Linked DNA regions of Oryzias latipes. The protein of the gene in region 5 interacts with the protein of the main gene of each other region in a pairwise test. Links are inferred from orthologs where the notes say so. Each region holds a gene or a part of one and is shown on either strand. Other genes may lie near its edges. The genes, in order: fbf1, pak5, glial fibrillary acidic protein, lztr1, tubgcp4 and serine dehydratase-like.

Region 1 (3,467 bases), on a different chromosome or scaffold from region 5:
GTTTGACATTTTTATTTATTGTTCATTTTGAGTAGTAAGCAATTAACAGCAGCCAAAAAAAGAAGAAAAAAAACCTATTTGACCCTTTGGGTTCTCCAGGGTTAAAAAAGTGTTTTCCTTGTAGCATAGTTGGGTCTTTGCATGTCTTTATGGGAAGTGTTCCAGAGTTTTAGCCTCTGAGAAGAAGCGGTCACCATCATTGAATCACCAATAGATTCTAATCAATAGAGCTCTGCTAGATTGCTTTGTGGTTTATAGTTCCATTACGTAAGAGGGTCCAAGACCATTGGTTGCAATGGAAAACCATTAAACACACTGGAAGCAAGTAAGGAGAATGCAGAAAAGGGATGTAGGAATTTCTCACTGTTGGTAACCCAGCAGCAGGATTCTGGATAGAAAGATTCTAAAGACAGATTGCGACAAATTCTTTACTTGGTAGTTAAAGACCCGTTCCGATGAAAATGGTTTTTAAAATGTTCTTGTAGCTTTTTTCCGATGGAGTACAAGTTTAAAGAAAATTCATCTTAGAATTGCGTTTTTGAGTGTTTCTTTATTCAAATTGTTGTAAATCATCAAAAATACTTTTTTCAAAAGAGCTCATTTGTGACAAAGAAAATAACCTGGGAGGGCCACAAGCTTCCTGCTTTTAGCAACGGGAAGGGGGGCGGGGTTGCTCCATGCCAACAGTTCTAACGAATCATAAATAAAAGGCCACTGCTTTTAAAATATTTTGAAAGGTGATCGGAGGGGGATCTGAATGAAAACTGTTTTTCCAAATGGAATTCAATCCACCACACTCGTTTTCTCGACTGACTTCAGGAACGCTGGAAGGTGGCATCAGAGCAAGCCAAGGTGGAGTCGCTCCAGAGGAGCCTGGAGGAAGAGCGTCGTGTCCTCAATATGCAGACCAGCATGGAGAGGGAGGAGTTGGAGAGAGCTAAGGTGAGGCTGGCAAACACCAATCTCCTCTAGGGTCAGCTGTGGTGCTGAGGTAGAGCGGGTGACCTCTCTTGCCCGTGTGTTGAAGTGTCCTGTCCAAGGACACCAAACCCCACATTGCTCCTGGTGGTCTGATGACAGCAGAGATTGGTGGCTGCAAAGTGATTTGGGCTTTGATAATGGTAGAAAAGTATAAGTATGCATCATTTATTGAGCTCCATGTCTCCTCCAGAGTGTGCTGCTGGAGGAGCAGAAGTCGGTGATGCAGCACTGTGCAGAAGAAAGGAGGAAGCTGGCAGCCGAGTGGGCCCACTTTCACGATCAGGATAAAAGGAGGCACGAGAGAGCTGAGCGGGAAGTTAGCAGCCTCTTGGATAAAAGAGAAGGCTCCATCATAACTCTGGCACAGGTACGACTCAGAATCAGTCACGGTGAAACCAATTCTCAAGGCAAACTGGTTTGTGGTTGTTTATCACAAAAGACAGTGTTGGATTTGTTGTTCCTTTTGCAGGAACAAGCTGACTTGAAGCTTCGCACAGCAGAGCTGAAACAGAAAGAGATGGCTGCAGCACAAGAGCGAGAGACTCTGGAAAGGCTAAGAGAAGAGCTAGAAAGAGAGAAAGAGAAAATAAGTAGTGCAGCCCTGAGGCTGGAAACTCGGGCTCTGGAGGTCGAGTCCTTCAGCAAGGTGATCTAGGATCAAACAGAACCTCGAAAGTCTGTTCAAATGAATCCTAACATAAAAAAAATTCTCTGCAGCTCGCCGCTAATAAGTATGAAGAGGGCGAAGAGGCGCTGAGGGAAGCGAAGCGTGTGGAGGCGGAGCACGAGGCCCGCCTAAAGAGCATTCACTCACAAATGGAAAGTCTGAGGATGCAGGAAAATCGCATTCTAAAGGTCTGCAGTTCTCAGAATTCCTCAGAAGATATTTTTATACTTAATTAACTGCTTTTATTTTTTAGGAGCGCACAAAGCTAAACTATCTGCAGGACAAAGCACAGCAAACACAAACCTCAAGCTTTAAAGCCCCACCTGTTTTACCAGGTAGTTGGAATCTGTTTCAAATATTTTGTGGCCAAACAGTAAGGATGGATTTTAGTTTGTTTTCCTTTTCTTTCACTTTAGTTTCAGTGTTACCCACTCCTGAGCTGACTGCAGACTTTATTCCCAACTTGTCTGCAAATCATCAGTCAATAGCTCGAGAAGCGTGCCTGGCCCTTTGGAAATACACTGCAGAAAAGGTAACTCTTGATGGTTTTCACTCGATCTTTATTTTAAATGTGGCTTTAGAATTGAAAAGTAATGTACAAGTATGAATTCATATTTCCATTAAAAAAACCATTTTCCTTCCCACAGGAGACTGAATTCCTCCAGGAGGAGCAGATTTATCTGGACAATTTGAGAAAAAAATCCTACAGATTAAACACAACCTGACAATGTTTTTTTTTCCCAAAACTATTTTTAATCTTAATAAAACAATGTTTAAGTTTAAATGGTTGTCTTTAATCCCACTGGAACTCTGTCTGCAGCTGCAGCTGCTAATCTGTAACAGAGAGAGAAGACAAATGTAATCCAAGTATTTTAGTTACTTCAGGATGTCATGTCTGCTCATTCAAGCCTCAGGTTACCGTGACTCCACAGCTAAATTCAGACAGGGATAACTTGTATCATCTTCGGCTTAACTTCCTCTTCCATGCAATTCTGGGAACACTTACTTTTTGTAATATCTTCAAGATCTGTACATCTTGTAGTCCAGCTTTACATCAACACATCTGTAACGCAGAAGAAGACAAACATTAGAAGAACTCCAACTATTCTTAACAGCAACAAGTGCTGCATGTCAATCTCATAACAGCTTTTTAGTTTTCGCATCAGGCAGCACTTCCTATGCAGTAATTTTCACTGAGACGTGTAACAAGAGTAAAAACTTAACACAACTCACCTTTGATGACTGTCCTCTCCTAAGCAGCTGAAGCGTTCCCTTTATGACCTGCAAGAAAACAATCCATCAGTAGCAGTTGGAGTTCTAGTAACATGTAACAGTACACAAATCTACAGCAGGTCAGATACCATTGATTTCCACATGTTTAATGTCAGACAGGGATAACAAACTCATCATATGCACTGCAGGAGGAAAATATAACTATTACAGATGTCTGAAAATGTACCTTTGGATAAGTTATCCTGAAAGATCCATTTGATGCCTGAAAGAAAAAAAAAGACTTATTATAGAAATATAACCACATTTAAAACTATACCATCAGTTTCAGACGCTCCAACAAAGTTTTAATCATTTATTTGGGGAAACACCACTAATACTAGCTCCACGTGGTTTTCATCCACGTGTTCGCTAGCTAAAAGAAAGCTAACGGCTAACACGTTAACTCCCCAATATACCTTTAAATTAGGCTTCTGTTTTTGTCAACTGATGTCCCTCGTTTCTTTTTCCTTTTTAAATCTTGTCATTGTTTTTACTTACTTATTTTTCTTACTTTATTATTTAGATTCTGACGTGTGCTGCTTGGTCT
Region 2 (3,973 bases), on a different chromosome or scaffold from region 5:
TTCTGTCTGCCTTTGGACAACAGATGTAATTCAGCTTTTGTGCTAATTTATGCTCCAACTCTGCTAAAACATTGATTAATGTCGCTTTTCCCAATTGAAATCAAATAAACAGTTTATTTGCTGAGTTCTGGACTTTTGCTGTGAGTGAAAAAAAAAAAAACTCTCAGAGGAGTCCGAGACGGAAATCCTTAACGTCAGCATGGATGCTTGATTTTGCTTTTAAAGTCCCCCTCTGACCATATTTTGATCTATTCTCAATGTGTTCCCTAGTTTCTACAAAGCTGCAGGAGTTCATCAGAAATTCACCCCTCCCACTAGCTTACAGCCCCTCACAACCTCAACCGCATATTGGTGGTGCGACGAGCAACATTGGAGCTAACCAGCCCTACAGTTTAGATCCAGATTTCAGGTCAGACGAGGAAAACAGAGACGTTCATGGATCTATTTGTCTGCAGGTGGGTGCATCAGAATGGGGCGGAGCAGGGCACTTTTGGCCCCGCCCCACATATTTTCGACAACACAAATACATTATTTTTGAAACGGCACGTTTTCACCTGCTCGTTTCAACAAAGAAATTAACAAAAATGCAATTTTAAGCCTAATTTTGTTAGTTAATGACCTCGGTGTTAAAAACACATTTTTTCCATCGGAGTGGGACTTTAACGTGTAATGAGGTGAGAACTGTTGTAAAAGAAAACAGCTGGGATCGGAAAATATGAGGAAGAGGTGACTGAACGTAACTCTGTAAAGTGCTTCTAATAAAACACACAATTAAAGCAAAAAAAAGATGTTTTCCTGCTTTAGCGTCTTTTTTTAATTGAAACCAGATTCACCGATAACAAACATGCAGTTTCAGTGTACAGGCCAGAACCACATTAAAGTGTAACTCATTCAGATCTGAACACACGGTGGAGGTTTAGCTCACGACAAACACACACCTGCTCTCAGGGTCTGTACAAACACACTCCTCCCGCACGCGCACCGTCGTATTTACAGATCACAGTGAGGGACGGGGTCAAAACGATGTGGTTAGAGGGGGGCGGGGCTTCACCGTTCTCCGTTTCAGTGACGATGACAGACCGGCGCAGTAGAAAGGACCCCCCTCCATGAAAAAAACACACAAGGAGGCTGCCATAAAAGAAGCAAAAATGTTCAGTGAAGTGTTTTTTTTTTTTTTTTTTGCCAAACTCTTATCTGTGCTACATTTAAACGGTAACAGTGTGATTTTAGAAACCGGTTTGCGGTATTGCTTGGAGGACATAAAAGCCGACGTTCTTTAAACCAAAAATCCCCAGACGAAAGGAAGAAGAAGAAAAGGAAAAAAAAGGCCACACTACAAACAAAAATATACCTTCCCTTTCAATAAATAAATAAATACTTTAAAATATTGTACAAAATTTGAACTTTACCCTTTTTTTCCAACATTTAATGGAAGTTCTGTCTACAAATATGAGTTCATAAATATATTACTTTTAGCAACACTCGTGTTTAGGTGGATTTATTTGGAATATTTCGTAATTTTAAGCAAAAAAATGGATTAAAAACGGTATGAAAAATCTCTGCAGAAACTCTATTAATACTGCTCATATCACAATTGTTACGACACAATAAAATACTGCAAATTATCAAAACTGTACAGAAATACAAGTTCCTCTAAAATACATTTGGAGAAGACTGAAGAGAGCTCGTCAGTTTAGCAGGAGCCGGTCCTCAGTGAAAAACCCCTCCGTTCAGGCTGATTGTTGCCCCCGCCTCCGTCGCTCTGCCTTGGGGGGGCACGGCGTGGTCGGCTCCACCAGCCGCTCAGCTGCTCGCCACACCTTTCTGAAGCTTTGGAAGGCTGATGGCTACCAGGAGTCTCGCTGAAGACTCGTCATCTGGGAAAGGAAGAAGACTGCAGCCGCCCCCGCCCCCCTGCCCTTCGCCCGCCGGACGCTCAGTGAGCGTCTGTGGCACCAAACCCTTTCAGTTCATGGTATAAAAAGGAATCTTTTTAAATCTTAATTTTACCTCCTTTTATCTGTAAATGTTTGTTCCTCTAGCTAAACTACGCGGCGGTTACAGCGGAGAGCCACTGCGGCATTTGGCTGGATGGGGGCGGAGCCGCCCAAGAGGGGAGTGGATGTGGGCGGGATTAGGTCAGCGATGGCGGTAGTGTCTCATGAGGGGAACGATGCAAGAGGGGGGGCCGGACATCTTCAGGAAGGGGTGCTGGAGGAGTTCCTGGGCGGTGGCCCTCTGTGACGGCTCCCTGACCAGCATCATGTCCAGGAAGGACCGCAGCACCGACGACACCTGCAGGACGGACGGAGAGCCTTCAGGCTGTGGAGCAACTGCATGTCAATGTGACCCCCCCCCCACCACCACCATCCACCACCACCAACAAGGCAGCAACGCTGACGGATGTCCGGCAGGTTAAAACGTGCTGTTAGCATCTTTTCTTGTCAATTTCTTTATTTCATTTCATTTTCACAAAAACAAAAATGTACCACAAGTTCTTATAAAAGGAAACTGAAAGAGGACTAAACATTTCTGCTTCTTACATTTTTTGGATAAAACGAACACATTTTAGGGTAAAATAATAAAGAAAAATCATCATATATATGGAGAGTTTACTCTAAAAGGCTTACGAAAAGCAGGATATAGACCCTTCAAAGCGTAAAAAAGAGATTTTTGTGCTTTAATGTGTATTTTTGTACTTTAAATTAAGTTTTTTCTTCTAAAATAGTTTTGATAAAAGTCTTTCACAAACAGGCCCTTTCAGAAATACGTCTTACGTTATGAAACATTTTCTTTAAATGATTAAAAATAAGTCTTTTGGTCACTGAGAAATGTTTTCGTAAACCAAGATTGCCGTGGAAGATTTTTCTCAATAAGATTATTTTTCTTGCATGACAGAAAAAAAAGACAGTTTCTTCCTTAAGATTCGGTTTCTGCAATGTGGGAATCAAGAGAGAAAAGAAAATTCTTCATGTTTATGACAAATTTTAAAGCAAATCTGTCAGTACGGAGAAGAATGTCACTTGTCTTATTCCTAACCTTGTGTGATTCTTTTAGCCGGGGGGGCAGGTTGTCCCGTATCCTCCTCATGGCCTGCAGAGGGGGCTCATTGAAGTAAGGGGGCTCCCCGTCCACCATCTCGATAACCATGATGCCCAAAGACCAGATGTCCACCTGAACACACAGAGAAACCAGTCAAACTGCTTGGAATGAAGCATGAACCCCCCCCCACCTCCAGCTAACACCGAGCCCCCACCTCTGTGCCATACGGCAGTCTGGAAATGACCTCTGGCGCCATCCAGTAGGGCGTGCCCACCAGAGACTTCCTCTTGGGCACTTCTTTGGAAACTTGGGCGCAGAAGCCAAAGTCGGAGAGCTTGATCTGCAGATCAACACAGCTTTCAGCCGTGGAGCAGGTGAGACCTTCCACACACGACACTCATCTCTCCTAACTACGTTTCCACGAATCCTCTCTTATCAGCTCGTTAAGAGACACCTAATTAGCGGATAAAGATCTGACGGAGACTCTCCTACCCGGCCGTCGCTGGTCAGCAGAATGGAGTCGCTCTTGATGTCGCGGTGGATGACGCCCTGCGTGTGCAGGTAGGACAGAGCCCTCAGCACCGACAGGCACACGGTGGCAATCTGCTCCTCGTTCATCCTGAACACGGGAAGAAAACACGGAACAAAAGCCTTGATAAAAGGCTGATAAAGACCTCAAATCTATAAGAAGAAGCAACACTTTCCAAATTTCTTTTTGTTCATTTCAAAGAAGCGTTGATACATTTCTATTAGAAATGCCATCTGACATGCTTTTATTTTGAAATGACTCTGCAGAGCAGCCAGGAGGGTCCCATATGGCGAGAGGAGAAAAGTTAGTCCGTCTGACTGGCTTCACACGGCTCCACTGAGCATTTGCATGCAGACCCAGCTGGCCAACTGCACTGCCGCTTTATGAACATGTCTGCGCAGA
Region 3 (5,138 bases), on a different chromosome or scaffold from region 5:
TCTGACGCCGGTACTCATTGGCCTCTTGCTTGGCCTGGCGCAGTGCTTCTCCATTTCTATTGGCTGCATCTGTCAGGTCAGCAAACTGTAACCCAAAAGATAGACAATATATCCCTCACACAAGTAAAACAAATTCTGCTTGCGAACATTAATTGTCAGAAAAACTGACCTTGGATCGATACCACTCCTCTGTCTCCTGCATGTTGGAGGTGGCCAGGTTTTCATATTGGAGTCGAATGTCTCTCAGAGCAGCAGTTAGGTCTGGTTTTGAAACATCCAGGTCAACATGGACTTGCTGGGCCAAGACTTTCTCCTGTGACTCACGCAGCTCCTGATCAGAAAGAGTTATGAAAGAGTTGAAAACAAACAAACATAGGAACTAAATGTTTGTGTTGAATCAGCTTTGAAAAACCTCTTCGTGTATTTTCTTCAAAAAGTTGATCTCATCCTGAAGAGATTCAATCTTCCTCTCCAACTGGACACGACTGAGAGATGCTTCATCCACATCCTGCGTGAACAACGACACGAGGACTCAGAAAAGTTGCGCTGTTCCTAAATAATTTATTAGTGATTTGTGCGTCAATTACGTAATTTTAACATATATGCGCCGTATACAGGATTTAAAAGTCATACTTCAATGGCACATAATGTATGACTAATACTATTAGACACAAGTGGAACAGTTGTGGAAAGCCACAAAATTGTGTATGCATCACACAAAAATCATGCACTTTTGTGTAAGATTTACGTACTAATTGCGTGTAAACTTCCTAAAATATGCGTAAACTTCGTCATTCTCAAGCAACAAAATTTTGAACAGCTCAGAACCGAATTCTTGTGAAGACCTGTCTATCGAAACCCTCATTGGACATCTGAGCACATCGACGACTGACCAAAGCAAAAGCCACTTTTGTTTTACGTATATCACGCACGAATCAAAACAGACTGAAATTTCAGATGTGCTAAAATGCGCAAAATGTACGCAGTGACACTAAAGATTACCTGTCTAAAGGCGTTCAAGTTGTTCTCTGCTTCCTGACGCTGCACAATCTCATCCTGCAGCCTGTCAAAAGAGAACAGATCGCTTTCAGATTCTCTGAAGGGAGACACAACCTTTTAAATGCAGCTTTTTTTCATGAACCCCTTAATTTCTGAATTTATTTCCAGCTAAGGAAAAAAAAAAGATTTAGTGTTTTTGCTTCCAAGTAGATGCTAAATTAAGGTAATTTTGGAACCCAAGTGGAGTCTATTTGCTTCAACAGGCGTTACCCTAGAGGTCCTATGCACACACAGGACCTCTAGAGGTGCTTGAGCCCCTGCCCTTTATGGAAATGACGTCACATAACATCCAGTTGTGAGTTGGAGAATCAGATTTTTCTGCTAATCTAGTTGATTAATCTACTGTTCTTGTGGTCATTTTCCAATGTCCACAACAACAGTAGAGATATCTTTCTCCAAGCTAAAATTGGTGAAAGAAGAAAGGCTCTCCGATCTCCTTCTCCTTTCCATTGACAGACACAACTATACATCACAATGATGTGATCAATATCCTCAGGGGTGGGGCCCCCTGAAGGTTCCTGCTTTGAGGTCCCCAGAAGATTGGGTTTGAATCAGGGCTGAGTTTCACATTAACATTATTTCCATTATACGATTCATTTTTGTACATCGTTCAAAACTCATATTTCGCTGTCAGCGTGCAATAAAATATTTATTTCTGTATCGTCTAAGGGGCAAAAAACAAAAAAAGTGCACATGCTGCCCTTTTCCCTGATGATGTTTGATTCCCTGGTCTGGAATCAAATAACCCCGTCGTTCTCTGTTCTCACACAACATCAGCTACTTTTATGCTTTTAATGCTGCTCCTTGTGGTGCAGGGGAGGAGGAGCCAGGCTCAGCTGAAAGGGCAGCTTATGCATCATTACACATTCACTGCGACCTAACAGCCAGAGGCCTTTCCCACGGGAAGGAGGATGCAAACACACATTGACACAAAATAAAAAAAAATTAAAAAAACAGACATCGCCCCACAATCCATCTGCCAAACACAGACACGCAACGATCTCACTCCAACATCTGTATAGGTTCATGCAGAGTTTTCTGAGTAGTCTTGGTATGGGAGCAGCATCAATGAAGAGGTGACCTCTGACCCTCTCAGCCACCGTATCATTATTCACCCTACCGTCTTTTAGGGAGCAGAGGGCAAAGAGGACTGTGCTGAAGACCTTTTCCCCCCCCAGACCTTCAGTCATTCTTTCTAAAACTTCTGGCATAAATTCAAGCAGCCGCAAAGGAAAAAATGCGAAGCTTCAAAGAACATCTCCCCGGCTGCTCTCTTTGTGCAGGGCCACCATTGTGTTGGCCTCATTCCTCCACACTCTTTCGGGGCTGACGAGGGGTTCAGTCGGGATCAGGCTTGTATAGAGGGATCCAGTAGCAAAGCTCAGGCGGACCATGGAGATCTGCATTCTAACAAATCCCCCCTCTCAAAAAGAATCTACATATAAATGCTCTTGTAATTTAAAAAAAAGGAAAACGTTTTCTTCCCCTGTGCCAGGATTTCTCCAACCTAATCCAGATAAACTGGACTTAATTCTAAAGCAATACATTTGAAATCAAATTTATCCTTTGAAAATAAAAATGTGTTTTAAAAAAAGAGTTAAGTTTCTCTAATTTTTGGGTATTTTTTCAGAAATTTGAAATTGAAAGTTACATTTTCAGTTAACCACAGCTCTGTTCCAAACAAGAGACACAAAGGATAAAGGTTATCTCTGAGCACCACCCTGCACTAACCACCTTTTTTCACACCTACCTCTGCTTAAGCGTGGCCAGATCTGCAGCCAGGTTGTCCCTCTCGATCTCCAGTCGAGCCTTGCCTGTGGTCAGGTTGTCCACCTGCCGCCGCAGCTCCCTGAGTTCATCCTGGTAGATGTCCCCAAGGCGACTGGGCTCCTTCCCCCTCAGCTGGTTCAGCTCTGCCACCAACACTTTGTTCTGCTGCTCCAGCATGCGCACCTTCTCGATGTAACTGGCAAAGCGGTCGTTGAGGCCCATCATCTCCATCTTCTCATTGGTGCGCGTCTCCTTGTACTGGGCCTTCAGCAGGGAGTCGGCGGAGAAGTCCAGCCGATCCCCTGGACTCCCCATCAGCAGGGCCGCGGTAGAGGAGCCCAGGGAGGTCCGGGATATGGGGCTGGAGATGGAGATGTTTCGAGGGGTTCCATGCCAGGAGAGGCGGCTGGACGATAGTCTTCCCCCTGCACTGCCCGGGCCTTGAGGCCCGAAACGCTTCCTGTAGGAGGACTGGACTCTCTGGCTCTCCATGACGGGGGGAATGGGCTCACAGAGGGGACAAACTGGGCTTTTATAGTTGAAGAACTGCCCCCAAGTCCAGAACACAGAGGCCACAGGGTGGGGCAGGGAGAAGGGAGGGCAGCAGACAGTGAATGGCGCATAAAGGGGTGGTTTGCATCCGACTGAAAAAGCTGTGGGCCGTGGATTGTTGTCACTCCTGGTCCTCTGACTCACTCCCTTTTTCACTCCCCCCCCCCCTTTTTTTTTGTCTTACCCTCTTTCTTTCTGTTCCAACTGAATGAAAAGGAATTTGTGTGAAACCGTCTGGCCGCCGTTCCAGCCTGACCAGAAACTGGACCACAAAAACAAAAAACAGGTTCTGATTGAAGGCAACAAACCCAAAGAACCCAGCCAAGGTTTGGCAGATCGGAGCAAATCCAGCGCAGAAGACGGCTGTTAGACAAACACAGCTGAGTTCAGCATTTAGGGCTAAACACACACTTCTGCACGGGATTACAGAATTATGACAAACAGTAACTATCAGCAGTAATGTTTTTTAACAACCTATTGGCTTTCTCCTGTTAAATACAATAATGTAGGAATGAAACCAACATTTATTCCATACTTGAGCTCTAAATCTCAGAACCATAAAAATATGACACACAGAAGAAATAAAATACAAGTAAAACATAAATTATAAACGTAAAAACGTAAGGACTTAAAAGGGTGTCCAAACCAGTATGTTCAATTTTGGGACTGGTAACGAAGAGTTCAAAGAAGTCCCACTCCAATCCTCTTTTGATCTATTATAAAAATGTTCCCGGTGGTCTATTACTTACAATGAGGCAGTTTTTAGCCCAAATAGCGGTAGTAATATTTAAAAATCCACCTTTGGGTTGTGGCCATTGCTGCAAGTGAGCCCCACATCCTTCCCATCATCCGTCTGTTTACACTCCCTCCCACTAGCTTACCAACCTAACATAACCGGAGCAGCAAAGGAAAAATGGGAGCAATATTGGAGCTATCCAGTCGGACAGTTTGGATCCAGATCCCAGCTCAGATGAGGAAAACTATGGCAAAAATGGATCTGTTTGTCCACAAGTGGATGCATCAGAATGGAGCTAGTGGCTTGCCGTAGATGTTTCTACATCACATTAACAACGTTTTTCCTGCTAATTCACAACAATTTAAATACAGAAATACACAAAAATGCAATTTTGAGGTTGATTATCTTCACATATGTCCTCTATCATGAGAAAAAAATGCCACTAGAACATGGTAAAACCACTCAAAACCCAGTTTAATTTGAATCTGAATGGGTTTTTAAGACATGCCACCCAGAAGATTTTTTTAAGAGTTCAGTGAATGTTGTTGTCATCAATCATTTTGTCATCAATAACATGACTAAGATATGTTACTGGATGACAGACATCGAGCTCAGTACTGGACAGTTTAAAAAACGGAAAATTCAATTTCACATCTTCTCTGGTACAACAGATCAACCCAGAACCCTTACTAGAATTATATAAAATATTCTTTTTTAAACCATAACAGGCACAGATATTTAAAAACTGCTAAAAACAACCGAATCATCTGCATACATCAGGGGCTTACTCTGAAACTTCCAAAATTGTTCCAAATTTGTCCTTTTAAACACCTTGGTAACATGTTTAAATTCTTTGGACATGTTTTATTTTTAAAATGCAGTATGAACTGAAGACGGTGGGAACAAACATGTTCATCAGGGGTCTCCATGCACCATGTTCACTTCCTGCTGGTTTCAGAGACGGATAGATGGCTGAGATGAGGAGGAGGGAGCTCAACCCAGAAGGAGTCAGGGAGTCCAA
Region 4 (5,032 bases), on a different chromosome or scaffold from region 5:
TAATAATGACTGAAAGTGTCATCTTATGTGAGGCTTTATAACATTATAGAAATGTAAATGTTATTTTAACAAAATACACCTCTTATCTCTGAACCTTTTTATGAACACACAGCTTTCTTTTACAGCATTGATTATTCATCAAAGCCTTAATGTTTATTTCTAGTCTTGATTTATTTAAAACTTCAACATTTCTTTGAACCTTCATTTTGTTCAAATCAAATGTTTTTTTGACTGTACAACAGAAGAGTTGTAAAGCTAGTGATAAACAATAAAATAATTTTAAAAAACATTTCCAAAAATATCATGCATAGAAAAACCCTGCATAAATTGAAATAAGTGTAACGTTTTGCATTCTTGTGAGTTTATGAAGTTCAGTGTGTCGAGGAGTTACAATGACATGGAGCAAGAAGTGTGTTTGAGTTGGCTAAGGTCAGATCAAATGCTAGAAAAATCATGGAGCCCCTAAATGCACCTCATGCTGCGACACATGCGAGTATTAAATCTGCGCAATAAAGTCAGAATTAAATGCTTGAATCAACTTTGAGATGGATGTTAGTGGTAGCCAAGTGGAGGAGAGGCAGACAGATTCAAGTCATGGTTGTCTCACCTGCCAAAGTGGTTAAAGGAATTGTTTTTCTACCTGCCAAGAATATCCATGCCAGATTTGGTGCTTGCACCACAAAATTCAAGATTGTTTTAATAGCCAGCTCCTCTATGATGACATAGATACAAACAAGCCTCACAGAGATTGACAAGTTAAATATTTATTGTTGTACAGATTTGAGTAGATATGAACATTTCTAAATTGGCATTTATAAATTTACAATACATTGTACATATTATGTGTATGCATTTATAAAATATAAGAAAAATACTGAAAAAATGAAAACAGTGCCTAAAGACAAACAGAAAAACTGCATATTATTTAGAATGTGACTCCTTCATTGAAATCCCATCCGACAAAGCGTGGATACAAGGCATCTGTAGGGAAGATGACATGCAAAGGTGTGGGGGAAATGATGATGGGGAAGAATGCGGTGCAGTGAAGGTTGGCGGTTTCTGCAGGGGAAGAACGTCTCGCATTCCAAGTCATCCTAAATGTCAGACCCCATTTCAGCACATTGTTTGTCTGATATGTGTGCAGCAAGAGACTCAATGATGTCCAATAAGAGCAGCTGGCTGAGGGACCGCAGGTTGGGAAGCTTGGATACCTTTGGGAGGGTAGGAGAACAAAGCAAAAATGAAAAAAGAAGCACACTTTAATCAAAACAAGGAGAAAGAAAAAAGAAAAAAAAGAAGCTGATGATTATTTGTGCATTCAAAAAAATGAAACAGCAAAAAAAAAGAAAAAAGAATCAGAACAGCAGAGCTAACACTCCAGTGAAATGAAGTGAGAACTGGGTCTTCTGTCGTTTCTTTAAATAACAAGCAATAATCAGTTTGCCACTGTGACCTTCGTTGTTATGTGATGAGTTGCTTGTACAGCCGGCCCAAACTATAAACAGCCTTTTCATTGTACAGGAAGGAGGACTGTCCACCAGGAGACCAAAGGTTTCAGTTTCCCGCAAAGACAATAGGACTAGAGGGTTAGCTCAGCTGCGGTGAGTGGACAGCACACTCCCAGGGCTCCGGCTAAAAGCCCACCCACCTTGATAAACTGGTGGACAATAATGTGGAGGCAGTGCTTCTTCATGTCCAGAGCCTGGGTCTTGTCTGCTGCCTCCAGAATCTGAGAGGACAGGGAAGAAGTGTGAAAACAAATTCTTCATTTTTGGTTGCACAGCTTAGTCTCTGTCCCCACCCCGCAAACAGTAAAACAAATACCTGCAAGACGTTCTCCACAGTGACATTCATCTCCAGGTTTTGCTTACAGTAAGCCTGCAGCCTATTGTTAGAAAACCCATAGTAATATGGTGCAGCAAATAGGTATCTATCATTTAAAGGTTAAGGAAATTAAACATTTTACAATGACTTCATTGAAAAACATTCTAACTACCGTATTTTTCGGTGTACAAGTCACACTAGAATACAAGTCGCAGGACCAAAAAAAGAAGAAGAAAACCTATATAAGTCGCACTTTTGGGAGATAAGTGCAACAAGCTAGGTGTAATACTACGATTCACGCAACAAAATCAGGAAGCACGTAAAAAAAAAATTTTTTTTAAAGAACAATATTGTCTCAATGGAAGTAAGACAAATATAAAGCTCAGCAGGAGAACAATCAGATTTTCCTCCATGGTTGTTTTGGACAGGTTCTTCTTCAGGCTTCTGTGCATTTCTGTCAGTCGTTAATATTGAACCACAAATGTGTTAGTGGAAAACAACTGCTAAAAGGTAACAGTTTGTTAATGGAAAAATAGGGAATATAGGATCCTGTTTGTGTAAAAAAAATAATTTCACATTTAAGGCGCTTCTAAGTATAAGTCACACCCCTAGCCAAATTATTGTAAAAAACGCAACTTACACGGTACTCAATATATTTTCTAGACTTCATATTCTTAGGTTAGGAACAATAGAAACTACTTCTAGAAATCTGTCCTAGGTTTATGTTCTCTTTTAGACACTGCTGTTAAATTCAGTCTCTTTTGTGGGGATAATGCAACATTGACAAGGATACAAGGAGTCCTCTGGAGGCATGTTGACATCGCCGTAGTAGATATAGCGCAGCATGGACTCAAAGGCCTGCTTGCTTGGGACCATCTCTCCAATGGAAATATTTACCTGACCATCTTCTGGCATGAAGGAGCGAAACATTGCCTCAAAGTAGCTGCAAAATAAACAGCATGATGAGAGTTGATTAAACCCTGTTGTAAGATTACAGTATCTGAAATCTTTAAGAAGCAAAAGACCGAAGAAGTCTGACCTGGATCGAGCTGCCAGTATGGCTTGGTGTGCAGGCCGGGGATGCCCGTCCAAAAGCAAAATGATGTCGCAGAACTCTAAGCCCCCTCCCTCCAGGTAAGCCTTCATGTCCTGCACCAGGGAAGTCCCGATATCCACTGGCTGGTCAGAGTACATTCTGGGGGGAGGCTGCTGCTTTCGTCGCACGATCTCCACGATCAGAGGGGTGGAAAGTTGCTCGAACTCTTTGGTCATGATCACCTGGTTAAAGTGGGATTCTTTCACCACAAAATTCAGACAGTGCTCCTGTGTAAAAGAAAAACATTAAAATTAGTGTTAGGCCTAAACAATGACCGAATAAATGCCTCGCATCAATGATATATCAATTCTTGGTTTAATAAAGTTAATTTAGCTCAATTAAACAAGATTTTCTGTTCTACCTTGAGTTGATCAAGTTGCAGCTTGTTGGCATTTTCACAAACAATGAGAACATTCTGGAGATCCACAGATGCCTCAATGTATTGCACACACAGCTGCTCCAGCCGGGACAGTTGGAAACTGAGAGCCAGTTTGTATACATCCATGATCAAAAGGACATCCTGGACGTGGCCTGTGGAGGATGAGAAAAACAGACTTTGTTCACTTTTTCCCCCAAATCTTAACCTATACTACAGGAATGACTGAAGCACGGAGCGAGAAATACCTCTGCGGGGGTACTGGATTTTGTCTGTGTAGAGAAACTGCATTAAGACTTCAAAAGGTTGGGCCTCTGCTTCTCTGATGAAGACCTCCAGCAGGGGCTGTGTGCCCGATGGCCTATTGCCTGCTGGGATATCCCTCGGGCCTCCAGCTGCTCCCTCATCACTTTCTTCACTGCTCTCCTGTTTCGTCCTCTGCAACACAACATATTACACAACACGCTTTCTTTCCAACCCTCCAAGCTTCGGCCATCTACTGGTAAAGTTACTCATTCGGCAGTATGTTTTTCTTTGTAGAACGATGATCTAATTTTACACATTTTAAGTTTGCAAGATGCAGCTTAAATTAAAATGAAATTCTAAATTCAGCTAAACTTTCTAATGTGTTATTTAATTATTATATTCCATCTTTTTACTGTACCCGCAGGTGGTAATCACAATCAAAAAATACTCTTCAATACTGAAACAAACAAAAAGCTGCACTGAATGTGTGATTCAGACCTGTCTACGTCTGTCCTGAGCCTGTAGGATTTTCTTCCGCAGCCACTGACACCTTGCAGTCACTATAGCGATATGCCCCAAGACTCTCTCCTGCCTCTGTGAAGAAATAGAAAAGCATGAAGCCATTTTTTTTTTTTAACATTTTAACCTGCACTTTGCAGTATATGCAGTGTATCATCCAACAGGTAAAACCCACCTCGCCCAGAATGAACTCCACATCACAAAACTGACGGTTCTCCCACAGTTTACCATAATCTTCATGGAGAGTGCACTTTGGGTAACTTGAGAACTGTGAGATACGGGAAGTTCATAAGATCACCAAAGACATTTGGAGCCAAGTATATTGATCGGTCATTCAGACAAACCTGGAATCTGTACATCTCCCCACTGCGAACATTGTTGTCCACAGTTCCTCCAAAGATGTACATGGCATCCTGAATGACAGCAGCAGCATGAAAGAGCCTTCCACTGGGCATCTGAGGGGGGGTGAGACAGAAGAACAGATCAGATTTTGTAGGGGGGGGGGTTATTAAACAAATGTGCATAGTCAAGAAGGAAAGAACAGAAAGAGCATCAATTTCAGTGGAGAGTGTAAAGTACCCAGACAGCTTGAGGACTGTATGAATTAAAAAAATAGAGACAATAAAGTTCCTATAGGCTGACTGTCACAATATTAACCAAATTCAAAAAGACAGATTTGATGACTATTTTACATGTTAAAAGGAAATATCACAAAATTTTCAAAACACACGTTATCCCCCCCCCCCAACATATTTCAGCATAGAACGTGTACCTCACTGTCGAGGCTGGCTTGGATGACCTCCCAGGTCTGCGAGTCGACATCATAGCAGTGCAGCTCGTTGGGTAGAGTGTTGTCAGCAGCACCTCCAAAGACGTACAAGTGGCGATCAAAGGCGACCATAGTGTGTCCGTAGCGCCTCTGAGGAGGTGGAGGGGAGCCTCGCAGTAAATGTTCGGTGGGGATGCGTGTC
Region 5 (4,539 bases):
AGTCTTAGCTGGGATGTTTGGAAGCCTGCAGAGCTCCGTAGATTCAGCTTCCACAAACGCCTCAGACACTAGAAGCAGAGGAGGTGCAATGAGGTTCTGACTCGTCATCTGACAGGTGGCGTCTTTCTGTGGCTCCTACCTGCCCAGCGTGCCCCCCGCCTGGGTGTAGTACTTGTTGTAGTCGAGCCGGAGCAGCAGCCGGGCCAGGTCAGAGTTGATCTGATGGTTCTTCACACTCGAGAGTATCTTGAAGAGCAGGAAAGACTGGCGCTTGAAGCCCTGCGGTTTCAGAGTTTGTGTCAGAGTGCACGCCGTCAGAGCGCACGCCGCCAGAGTGAACGCCGCCAGAGTGCACGCCGTCTAAGCGCATAGCTAGCTGTACCTTGACCAACAGATCCAACTGGGCGGCTCCTCTCTCGTCCAGCGGCGCCACGCTGGGACTGACCAGAGCACAGAAGCTCTGACACAGATCCAGGATCTCGCTGAGGCAGTGGAAGACCTAACAGAGGAACAACAGGACGGTGGCGTCAAAGGAGAAGCGGCGGGGCAGCTCAGCTGGGCCGTACCGGGCTGGGCCGTACCGGTTTCAGCAGGATGAAGGACTGGGCCAGCAGGTTGCTGAGGAAGTGGTCGTGGGCCAGGTGGATGCTCTCAAAGTCTCTGGTGGAGTTGATCTGCTGCAGGAGCTGAGAGAACTGAGACTCCAGAACATCCACCTAGAGACAAGAGGACAGATAGGGAGGGGGTGTCAGGAGGTTTAAATGACCCCGCCCCCCCAATGCGTTTGAGCCTCCGAGCACATGCTGCAGTGATCTGAAGTCTCCACCCAAATGTCTCCTACAGCTGGAAGCAGACCCTGCAGATTTACATCTGCAGATTTAGAGGCGGAGCCAGCCCGCGCCTCCGCTCACCTGCAGGTAGTACTGCAGGTTGTCGATCAGGAAGGCCATGTGGTTGCGGAGCCGCCACTTCACCGCATCCGTCTGGCTTGAGGTCAGGTGTTTCCTCTGCATCTGCAGGGCCCAGCAGTGCTGCAGCTGCGACTGCACGCGCCGCACGCTCAGCAGGTACCGGAAGACCACGTTGTACCTGAACGCCGCGTGGAGCACAGAGGTCAGAGGTCAGCTCTGAGAAAGAAAAAAAACAGCTACAAAGACACGCCGGTCTGCACGCACTTCTCCAGAACGGCGGGGGTGAAGAGGATGTGCAGCGGCCACTGGACCTTGTAGGTGAGGCCGAGCGCGGCCCAGCCTGTGGGAGGGGCCTCACGGGGGGAGGTGTCCTGAGGGGGCGTGGCTCCATCCCTAGGGCCGGCCGTCTCTGCAAGAGCGAACCGTTTTGGCGTTTAGCATCATAACTGTTTATGAAGACGCATCTGTTCCTCAGCACCGCCGCCCTAAAGCCGCCTGGAATCCCAGCCGCTGAGGGTCAGAGAGGATTTTTATGGGGTTCACGCTCTTCCTCGGCACTTCCTGCACACACCTTTGCCGTCTTTGCCCTGGCAGTCCACAGTGAGGTGCAGCAGGGGCAGCAGATTGTCGTCGTCCAACAGAACCTTATGAGCGGCCTGCTGGAAGGCAACGTTCACGTCTGCAACACCGAAAGAAAAGCAAGAACACACAATCAACCAGCAACAAAACCAACACACAAAGAGGACAACGGCTGTTTGCAAACTAAAGGGCTTCTCCTTAGAAACCCCCGCCCAGGAAAATGGCGTGTTTGGTCTTTTAACTTGTTCTTGTGACATATAGAAAGAACATTAAGCTTAAATTACGTCGACTGTCAGACAAACATGAACGTCTTTGTTTTCCTCGTCTGAGCTGGAATCTGGTTCTAAACTGGGCGGCTGGAGAGCTCCAGCTTTGCTCACAGTGAGGGGCTGGAAGTTAGCAGGAGAACCTGTAAACAGAGAGCTCTCAGCATTGGGGAAGGAAAAGGGGTGAGGTTGCCTTATGCTTATATTGGAACTCCTGCCACTCAGCAGCAACTACGTTCTAGAAAACAGTTTTTTTCCAGCATAATCACGATTAAAAAAGATGATCGGACTTCAAACGGCAGGAGGGGTGACATAACTAAGGTTTCACTATCGTTTGTTCTTCCAAATTCACCATTTGTGGAACATTATTAAGGTGGGGGAGCAGGGTTCAGTACCCCCCAAGGGTTCATTCCAGCTGCTCAGGATCCTTGCTGGTGTGTGGGCGTCACTGAACTTCAGTGTTTTACTGGAAAGGTGCTGAACATGGGCGTCCACCTTTCACCACCCCTGAGAGAACTCAGGGCTCCAGACTAACTTTTTTCACTAGGAGCACTGTGGCCCCTAACTGAAAACTCTGGGGGCACAACCAGAAAATCAACATGCTAACCAAATCTCCTAATTTCCACTGTATTACCAATAAAAAATTTAATGATAGATGCAGAAATTACAATGTGCTGTTTCTAATACAGTGTCACATTTTATTCTGCACTTTTGAAGATGCAACAAGAAGGTAAACTGACAGCAACATCGCTGTCATGACAGTCCAAATAGTAAAGAAAACGGATGGGAATTTATCTTTGTGACACCAAATAGGTGCAGCCAAGATGCACAATAAGCGTGTTTGAGATCACCCAGGTGAACTCAACGCTGCACAGATCACCTGGTGTGAGACATATATTTTTGTTTTTGCTCCAACATCAACTGTCAATCATCACAAAAATATCGCGAGAAAGGGGTGGGAGCAAGGGGCAAACCTACCCGAACACAGCTGGAAACTGAACTGACTGAAAGCTGCCCTGATGACTACAAAACAATGCATTATGGGACATGTGTCCTGATGGTTTTTGTAGTGCAGTGATTAATTAAAATAATTTAAAATACCAATTCATTAAAAAAGGCTACATACATCACAAGACATTAAAATAATCATAAAATATATAATAACACAGATCACACTAAGGGGGAGAGGAATATTAAAACTAAATTGAATGTTAAGGACAACTCCAATTTCTTGTTCTCCTTCAGTCTCGCTGCAGATTCGCTTTCATCTCACAGCCCCCCCACCAAACGATCCAGGCGAAGCGCTGGTTCATCTCAAACACGTCTATCGTTGCATTTTCCACACGTATTTTCAGTGAGTCTAAAACTAATGTTGTTTTTGCTCGACCGTGTTTAAAGTTCAAGCCCCGTTAGCTGTCACGCATGTAGGTGTGGGACATTTATTCTCCTCAGCTGACCCGACTCCCGCTGGAGCGGCGTGCTGCCGTAACAGCCGTGCATAACCGTTTTATGCGCCGCCGTAACCGTAACCAAAACCTAAACCGTCCTCTGGATCTGTGTGACCCAGAGAAAAGTTCAGCACGGACTGCATGTATTTAGAAAATTACGAGCGAATAAATACGTTCTAAAGGAAAGTAAGGAACTCCTTAATGTGGTCCGGGGAGGGAGGGGCTGTCAGGTTTCCTGCTTTCAAGCCCTGTCATTGTCACGCCCCCAAGAGTCATTTACTCCACTGTGATTGGTTGCTTTGTCAGCTCCGTGCACGACGATGAAAAAGTGTCTTTCATACAAACTGGCTGGCTGCAGTAACATTAAGCCTTCATATTAAGGCGGGGGCCGCAAAATATCATCTTGGGGGCCGCAAATAGCCCGTGGGCCGCGAGTTTGAGACCCCTGCTGTACACTCTGGCACTGGTACACATAGCCGCAGGTCGGAAGAATGAATCAATAGTTCGCTTGCTCATAGCTCAGACGCACATATTAGGTTGTGATGATATTTGTCTCCGTTTCCTTCCCACAGATGTTTACGCACTCGATTATCTCTAGGCCCCTCCCCCTACACGCATTTTAGCCACTTAAAGTGGCTTTCCCTATTCTTCTCACACGCAGTGGCCGCCTCACAGACAGGTATCACGCGAGTGTGTGCTCGCGTTTCATGAGTATGTGCGCGAGTGTGTGTGTCTGTCTGCCTGCATGCGTGTGCGCTCGCGTCTCATTGATTATTTAATTGCTCATTTCATTGATCATTGACGTGCCCCTTCCACGTTTAATGTATAAAAAAATACGGAGGGTGGGGGAGGCAAATTTACTGGTAGCACATGTGCGACTGGATGTAAAATTTAGTCGCACACTCTCAAATTTTGGTCGCAAAATGCGACCAATTGGTCGCAGTCTGGAGCCCTGGAACTCCTTCATTCTTTTTTTTGACATGAAGCCACCGTGAAGGGAATCGGGTTCTTGTTGCCTGGTGTCAGAATGGAGGCAGTTGTTTTTGCCCCAGTTGGGTTAAAGATAGATCACTGGGTTTTTGATGGGGCTGTCAGGCGGTGGATCAATGGAGTTTCCCTCCAATCCAAGAGCGGCTAAGTCTTGCGGGTGTTTGTGGAAGAACGCCTCAGACGGGCAGAACTCCTCCTGCATGTGTGGCTCCTGCCAGCAGGAGGAGCTGTTGCTCTCCTCAGACTCACCGTGCTCGGTGACGGCCGTCGGCGGCGTCTTCAGCATGTGCTGCGCCAGATCGATGAAGACCTGGTAGAGCTCGCCGCGACCCAGCAGGTAGAAAT
Region 6 (5,256 bases), on a different chromosome or scaffold from region 5:
TTCCGTTTTTTTTTTATACAGTCAACGGGCGGGAGGGTTTCAAAAGTGAAGCCATACTATTTATCATGGTACCTTCAGCCTGTAACCTGCATATGAGGCCGCCATAGACAGCGGCGAGCGCAGCTCCACACGCCATCTCCACCAGCACACGCTCCTCATCTGCAAGACAACCAGCAAAAATGTCTTCAAGGAGCAAACATGAGAGCAAATCACATGAACTTTCATCCTTTTTGTGCATTTTATTCGGATGTTTTTGAACTAATCCAGCCCTTTAGAATTTCCAAGAAAAACGTTTCATGCTAAGTTACTGACTCACTGAGCTCTGAATAAAAAAAGACAAATGCTGAGTGCTTCATTCTTTAATTTGACCAGGCGAGACCAAACCTCATTTAATGAAGTGACCTGGAAGGCAGCAAAATCCAAAATACTTGAAGGCACACACAAAAAAAGAGGAAAAAGAGACACAAGGCCAAAGTACAAGGAGTAAACTTCAGTTAGCTTGATGCTGGTTTGTTATTTTCAGCTTCTACAACTATTAACCTGCAACGAAAATAGGATTTTTAATTTGTTCTTGTTGAATTTTTCTGATGATGGCAGAAATATATTAAGAAAATAAAGCTTAAAATTGAATTTCTGACTATCTCTTTACTCTAGAATCAGGAGCAAAAGAAAAAATGCCATTAAAAAAAAAGATTAGTAGAAAAAATTATGGTTGGGCCACAAGCTCAAAGCAACCACTTGCAGACGACTAGATCCGTGTTTTCCTCGTCTGAGCTGGAATCTGGCTCTAAGCTGTGATGTTTTTAATGCTGCAGAGAATGGAGCTCAGCAAAAGGTTGGGGTTCTTTAGTCAAGCAGGCACAGAAAATCAGTAAAAACCCTATAAATAGGAATCTCACCAACTAAGGAAAATAATGTGCACATTTTTTTCAAAATAATTATTGAGTAATGTAGAAAGAAGTTCCACTCATTAGAACAAAGCCACTGCTAATGTTCTTCAAATCACAAACCCAGGAAGGTCAGGACAGCCTGCAGAGCCTGCTGGTCCGTCACCACCTCCGAGATGATGGTCAGCTCGCGGCACTGGCTATAATCGAAGGCTTGTTTGCAGACCGTTTTTGCTCCAAGACATTTGGCCTCGCTGTGAAGACACAGATTAAACACGCAACCCCAAACATCAGGTGGAAATATTGAACATTTGTACCAAATCTGACCTGGTGATGTCGTCTAAAGTGACTAGCTTCCCAGCTCTAACGGCAGCATTGAAACAGTCGGCCCCCACTGTCTCCATGGCGATGATGGGCACATCCATCCATCCCACATCCCTCAGCCCCTGGACAACCCCACACATGAGGCCTCCTCCACCCACAGAGAGCAGCACGGCTCCAGGCTTCGCCCCAGGACCCAGAGAGGCTGCAATCTCTGCAATCATGCTGGCGTGGCCCCGCCTGTAAATAAATGCGGGGACACAAACGTGAATCACGTCTGGGAAAAGTCCAATGACAATGTGTAACAGTTGTTTTACCAAAGTAAAGGATGATCAAACGGAGGAATAACCATCAGCCCTTCCGTCTCTGCCAGTCTGAGAGCCTCTACATTGGCTTCATCCCAAACCTGAGCACAAAACTGGAATGTCGTTTTCTTTTTCTGAAGTGGCGCTTCTACACGCCATTCCATCACACCTCACCTTCCCTGCAATCCTGACAGCCGCGCCCTCATCCTTAAGTCTCTGCACCACCAGCTGTGGAGTGGAGGCGGGGACTACGATGGTGGCGGGCACGCCAAGCTTCCTGGCTGCATAGGCTGCAGCCATACCTGCATTACCACCTGGAAAACCCAAACACCCACTATAAAACAGAACCACCCCAAAGAGTTAAACAACAAAACGAATGATACCCGAAGAGCAGACGACTCCTTTAGATTGTCTGGCGAGCTGAAAGTATGAATGAAACTTTTTTTAAATAGGACAAACATATATATGTTTAAAATAATGCGACTGAGGTTCCCACCTGCTGGCACAGGTGTCCGATTCCCCGGATCTTAAAGGAACCAGAGGGCTGGGAACTCTCCATCTTCAGGTAGACTGTGGTGCCTGCTCGCTTGGACATGTTGACACTCTCCAGCAGAGGTGTATTCAGGTGAAACTGCTGGGACATGGTGCCACTGTTCCCCACTAGAGCTCAAAGCAGTTCAGAGGAGAAGTCTGAGGCTGTGGGAGCTCTGACAGGCTAGGAAATCACAGGATAAGAATGTGTTGATTAACTTGAATCAGTGATGCGTTCAGGCACACTCAGAAAAAAAACACAGACGCTGACAATACGCATTATGTAACTGTTTCGTAAAAAAACAAGTTTATTACATACATCATGAAAGGCTATTAATCCGATATAACAAACACAATATTTTTGTCAGTAAAAAGCTTGTATAAATAAAAATAACATTTTTTTGCCATATTAAAAAAGCGAAGGCAATACATTTATCAAAATATATGCTGCAGCTTTAAAAAAGCTACAGCTTAGTTTGACGAAGATAACCGCTACATAAAACAGCGCGAGTCAACATAACGTAAATAATTTAACGGGCAAAGGATAGTATTATAATATTATAGTTGGTCATACTTCAATGTTTTGCTTTGAACATGCGCCTAATTTTCGTAATGATAAGCACCTTACAAATAAAAATACCAAGTAGCATTGAGCAAAATAGAAGTTAAGCTAGCTCGACCACTTCCGGTCAACATTTTCAAAATATAAACTGACCGTGCTTTTGCTTTGAAAAAATATTTTATCTACATTGAATATAGTAACACTAACATTTCAACTATTTACGACTCTACGAAATAAAACGCACGGAAAACAGGGTTGACATTCACTCTGTTGTTGTTTTAATATAAAAATATGCTCTTGTCCTGATACATTCTTATTTATCCTATAATTTATACTAAAGTGTTTTTATTTAAGAATTAAAAAAGGCATAGGGATGCAAGTTAAGAGTATAGTACCTGAAATGTTTTTCTTAGGTGAAAGATTGAATGATGGCGAAGCAGAACTCATGAGCACTAAAGTCCAAAGTATTATTCTGAAGACTTTAATCTTTTTATGAGGTGACGCGCGCGCGCGCGCACACACACACACACACACACACACACACTATTACTGCGGCTGCTACAAAAGAGGCTCAGCTTTCAGTCTTTGCATGGATTAAACTTTTATTATTGCACATTACATGTACAGTTACAGCTTGCATATACACAGAATGATGATTTATACTCCTCAAAATTCATGTTCAACCTTCACATCAAACGTCTTTCAGCGAACTGCTTCATTGTTCATACAGGGTGGGGGGGTTGATGACCAGTTCTTGTATTTGTGCCAAACCCTTTCTGTACACTAGGTGGCAGAAGCGAGTCATTTCTGACAGAAAATCAAGGGTATACTAGTAATATTTATTCATAGAAATACAAAAAAAATTGTTGTTTTAAATAAAACAGCAACATTAGGGGTATTAAACAACACTAATGAAAAGGTGAGAAAAATAATAACACTGAAAAATGTTATAGTTAATGACATTCAAAACAGAGGTTGACTTTGCTGTAAAAAGCCTAATAAGAGCTGATTAAATCTTTTAACACTGCACTTTTGGTTTTTAGGTTTTTCTGCTAATAAAAGGAGCCTGCCTCTTTATTCTGAACTATAAAAATCAGTCAAATTTTTAAACCTACTTACTTCCTCTTTCTGCTGTCCACTAACAACTGGCTGTCAAAATAACATTGACATGAAAAGGACTTCCAATAAAACCCTTTTTTTTAGCCACTCAAAAAACTTTCAGGCATCCTTCGTCGTTTTTCCTCTCCGTCTTCACATTCAAAATGCACTTTCTTTCACCTCCTTCCACCTCATCGCGTTTTTTCTTTGGCTGTAAAAACCATAAAAAAGTGATGGCTAATGGTAGATTCTTTGGAGAATATCACGTAGAACTTGAAAACATCTGCATCATATTTTCACTTTCTAAAGCTGCATTAACGTTGAAGTTACATCCAAAAGTTAAACGGAATCTTTTTTTTTTCTTCAGCACCTTTCTCATGCTGCTGAATTCTCGTGAAGCCTGTCAAGCATTGGATCCAAAATCCAGGCCTGTAAAAAGAAACGATGCTTCTACCATGAATCGGTTCTGCTACATTCAGACTAAATGCAGTCTCTGCCATCTTTTTTCATTCTCCGTTGAGGTTTTCCGTCTCTGTTTCCGAACCGCATGCTCCTCTTCTCCTTTGTCGTGTTTGGCCGTGCATGTGACTTCTGCCAGCGTGCCTTGTGGTCCGGGCTTCATGCCAGCGAGCGTTGTCTGGGTTTGATCCTCGGGTACAGCTGTGGAGAGAGCAAGACGGAGCGGGTCACTACACCGTGTTAACATTGTTCTCAAGGTGGCTGAACATCAGTAACACGATTTTGTTTGCGTCTCCACATTCCAAACCCTTCTCTGGCTTAAGCTCCACCTCTCCTACCCTCAGGATGCATCATCAGCTCCACAGTCATCACCAGCATCTACACTCTTCAGGTCTCTCCCTCTAGGGCTCTACACCTGTTCTGATTGTGTCAGGCCAGACTAACTCCCAAAAAACTAGCATCGTGAAAATACACAAACAAAGAGCCTACAGCTCTAATAAATCTTTTATGATTGAAATAGGTGCATATTAAAAACGGTAAAGTTCAAAAGCACATACAGTGGAATAATGCAAGTCAGATCATTTTCTTTAATTGTCTTTGGGTTTTAAAATGTGAAAACGGGTCAATTTGGACCCAAACACAATCTAAGGGTTAAGGTGTTCATTTTAATAAATGCAGCTTTTGTTTTGAATCATTTATTTAACGTTTGTTCATAGCAAGAACCACAGTTACATTTTATGTGGTCTGCACATAAAGTCATGGTATCAAAGGTAAAGACTTTATGTGCAGCTTAACGATAGACATATTTTAATATTTAAATACATTTAGCTGAGGGTAGAAAAGGGTCCAAATATGCTAAGTTGAAGCAAACAGTCAGAAAGTCAGTAGGTTGGTTGGAAAAGGAGGCCTAACTATGAAGAAAATCTATAAAGCTGGTAAAAAAAACTGATATCTTGAGATAAATGAACAAACTTAACCCTTTCATGCCGTTAATTCACAACGTATCATTAAATCCAGGACTCCACCTAATATAGCATCACCTTAAAAGAAAAAGCATTGACAAATATTTTTTTAATAGTTGAAAATAAAGTCA

The links.
Region 1: the proteins of tubgcp4 (region 5) and fbf1 interact in a two-hybrid assay, tested with the Homo sapiens proteins (2 studies listed by BioGRID and IntAct). The two-hybrid records come from large-scale screens. The link is inferred for Oryzias latipes from reciprocal best matches to the Homo sapiens genes TUBGCP4 and FBF1.
Region 2: the proteins of tubgcp4 (region 5) and pak5 interact in a two-hybrid assay, tested with the Homo sapiens proteins (2 studies listed by BioGRID and IntAct). The two-hybrid records come from large-scale screens. The link is inferred for Oryzias latipes from reciprocal best matches to the Homo sapiens genes TUBGCP4 and PAK5.
Region 3: the proteins of tubgcp4 (region 5) and glial fibrillary acidic protein interact in a two-hybrid assay, tested with the Homo sapiens proteins (2 studies listed by BioGRID and IntAct). The two-hybrid records come from large-scale screens. The link is inferred for Oryzias latipes from reciprocal best matches to the Homo sapiens genes TUBGCP4 and GFAP.
Region 4: the proteins of tubgcp4 (region 5) and lztr1 interact in binary tests that used the Homo sapiens proteins (3 or more experiments, as listed by UniProt). The link is inferred for Oryzias latipes from reciprocal best matches to the Homo sapiens genes TUBGCP4 and LZTR1.
Region 6: the proteins of tubgcp4 (region 5) and serine dehydratase-like interact in a two-hybrid assay, tested with the Homo sapiens proteins (2 studies listed by BioGRID and IntAct). The two-hybrid records come from large-scale screens. The link is inferred for Oryzias latipes from reciprocal best matches to the Homo sapiens genes TUBGCP4 and SDSL.

Annotation. Positions count from the first base shown.
Region 1 is NC_019866.2:15,834,605-15,838,071, forward strand, and holds the end of fbf1 (fas-binding factor 1), read left to right. Parts: intron 1-819; coding exon 820-942; intron 943-1,171; coding exon 1,172-1,348; intron 1,349-1,450; coding exon 1,451-1,627; intron 1,628-1,698; coding exon 1,699-1,836; intron 1,837-1,901; coding exon 1,902-1,983; intron 1,984-2,064; coding exon 2,065-2,180; intron 2,181-2,191; exon of another isoform or gene 2,192-2,295; coding exon 2,296-2,373; 3' UTR 2,374-2,426; downstream 2,427-3,467. UniProt on the Homo sapiens protein: Keratin-binding protein required for epithelial cell polarization. Involved in apical junction complex (AJC) assembly via its interaction with PARD3. Required for ciliogenesis.
Region 2 is NC_019882.2:2,184,194-2,188,166, reverse strand, and holds the end of pak5 (serine/threonine-protein kinase PAK 5), read right to left. Parts: intron 3,662-3,973; coding exon 3,535-3,661; intron 3,383-3,534; coding exon 3,257-3,382; intron 3,175-3,256; coding exon 3,040-3,174; intron 2,296-3,039; coding exon 2,140-2,295; 3' UTR 787-2,139; downstream 1-786.
Region 3 is NC_019866.2:4,109,737-4,114,874, forward strand, and holds the start of glial fibrillary acidic protein, read right to left. Parts: upstream 3,352-5,138; 5' UTR 3,322-3,351; coding exon 2,810-3,321; intron 1,064-2,809; coding exon 1,003-1,063; intron 509-1,002; coding exon 413-508; intron 332-412; coding exon 170-331; intron 86-169; coding exon 1-85.
Region 4 is NC_019867.2:13,327,198-13,332,229, reverse strand, and holds the end of lztr1 (leucine-zipper-like transcriptional regulator 1), read right to left. Parts: coding exon 4,834-5,032; intron 4,517-4,833; coding exon 4,406-4,516; intron 4,330-4,405; coding exon 4,237-4,329; intron 4,137-4,236; coding exon 4,041-4,136; intron 3,735-4,040; coding exon 3,545-3,734; intron 3,452-3,544; coding exon 3,282-3,451; intron 3,148-3,281; coding exon 2,864-3,147; intron 2,768-2,863; coding exon 2,618-2,767; intron 1,931-2,617; coding exon 1,825-1,930; intron 1,730-1,824; coding exon 1,649-1,729; intron 1,212-1,648; coding exon 1,095-1,211; 3' UTR 745-1,094; downstream 1-744. UniProt on the Homo sapiens protein: Substrate-specific adapter of a BCR (BTB-CUL3-RBX1) E3 ubiquitin-protein ligase complex that mediates ubiquitination of Ras (K-Ras/KRAS, N-Ras/NRAS and H-Ras/HRAS).
Region 5 is NC_019861.2:4,182,307-4,186,845, forward strand, and holds part of tubgcp4 (gamma-tubulin complex component 4), read right to left. Parts: coding exon 4,444-4,539; intron 1,591-4,443; coding exon 1,483-1,590; intron 1,321-1,482; coding exon 1,176-1,320; intron 1,090-1,175; coding exon 912-1,089; intron 717-911; coding exon 582-716; intron 500-581; coding exon 383-499; intron 280-382; coding exon 140-279; intron 69-139; coding exon 62-68; 3' UTR 1-61. UniProt on the Homo sapiens protein: Component of the gamma-tubulin ring complex (gTuRC) which mediates microtubule nucleation.
Region 6 is NC_019880.2:17,707,381-17,712,636, reverse strand, and holds the start of serine dehydratase-like, read right to left. Parts: upstream 3,085-5,256; 5' UTR 3,002-3,084; intron 2,749-3,001; exon of another isoform or gene 2,619-2,748; intron 2,229-2,618; 5' UTR 2,157-2,228; coding exon 2,010-2,156; intron 1,934-2,009; coding exon 1,897-1,933; intron 1,828-1,896; coding exon 1,688-1,827; intron 1,615-1,687; coding exon 1,526-1,614; intron 1,449-1,525; coding exon 1,215-1,448; intron 1,142-1,214; coding exon 1,011-1,141; intron 160-1,010; coding exon 73-159; intron 1-72. Other genes in the region: apoptosis-stimulating of p53 protein 1, read right to left, coding at 4,323-4,364. UniProt on the Homo sapiens protein: Catalyzes the pyridoxal-phosphate-dependent dehydrative deamination of L-threonine and L-serine to ammonia and alpha-ketobutyrate and pyruvate, respectively. Also exhibits racemase activity towards L-glutamate and D-glutamate.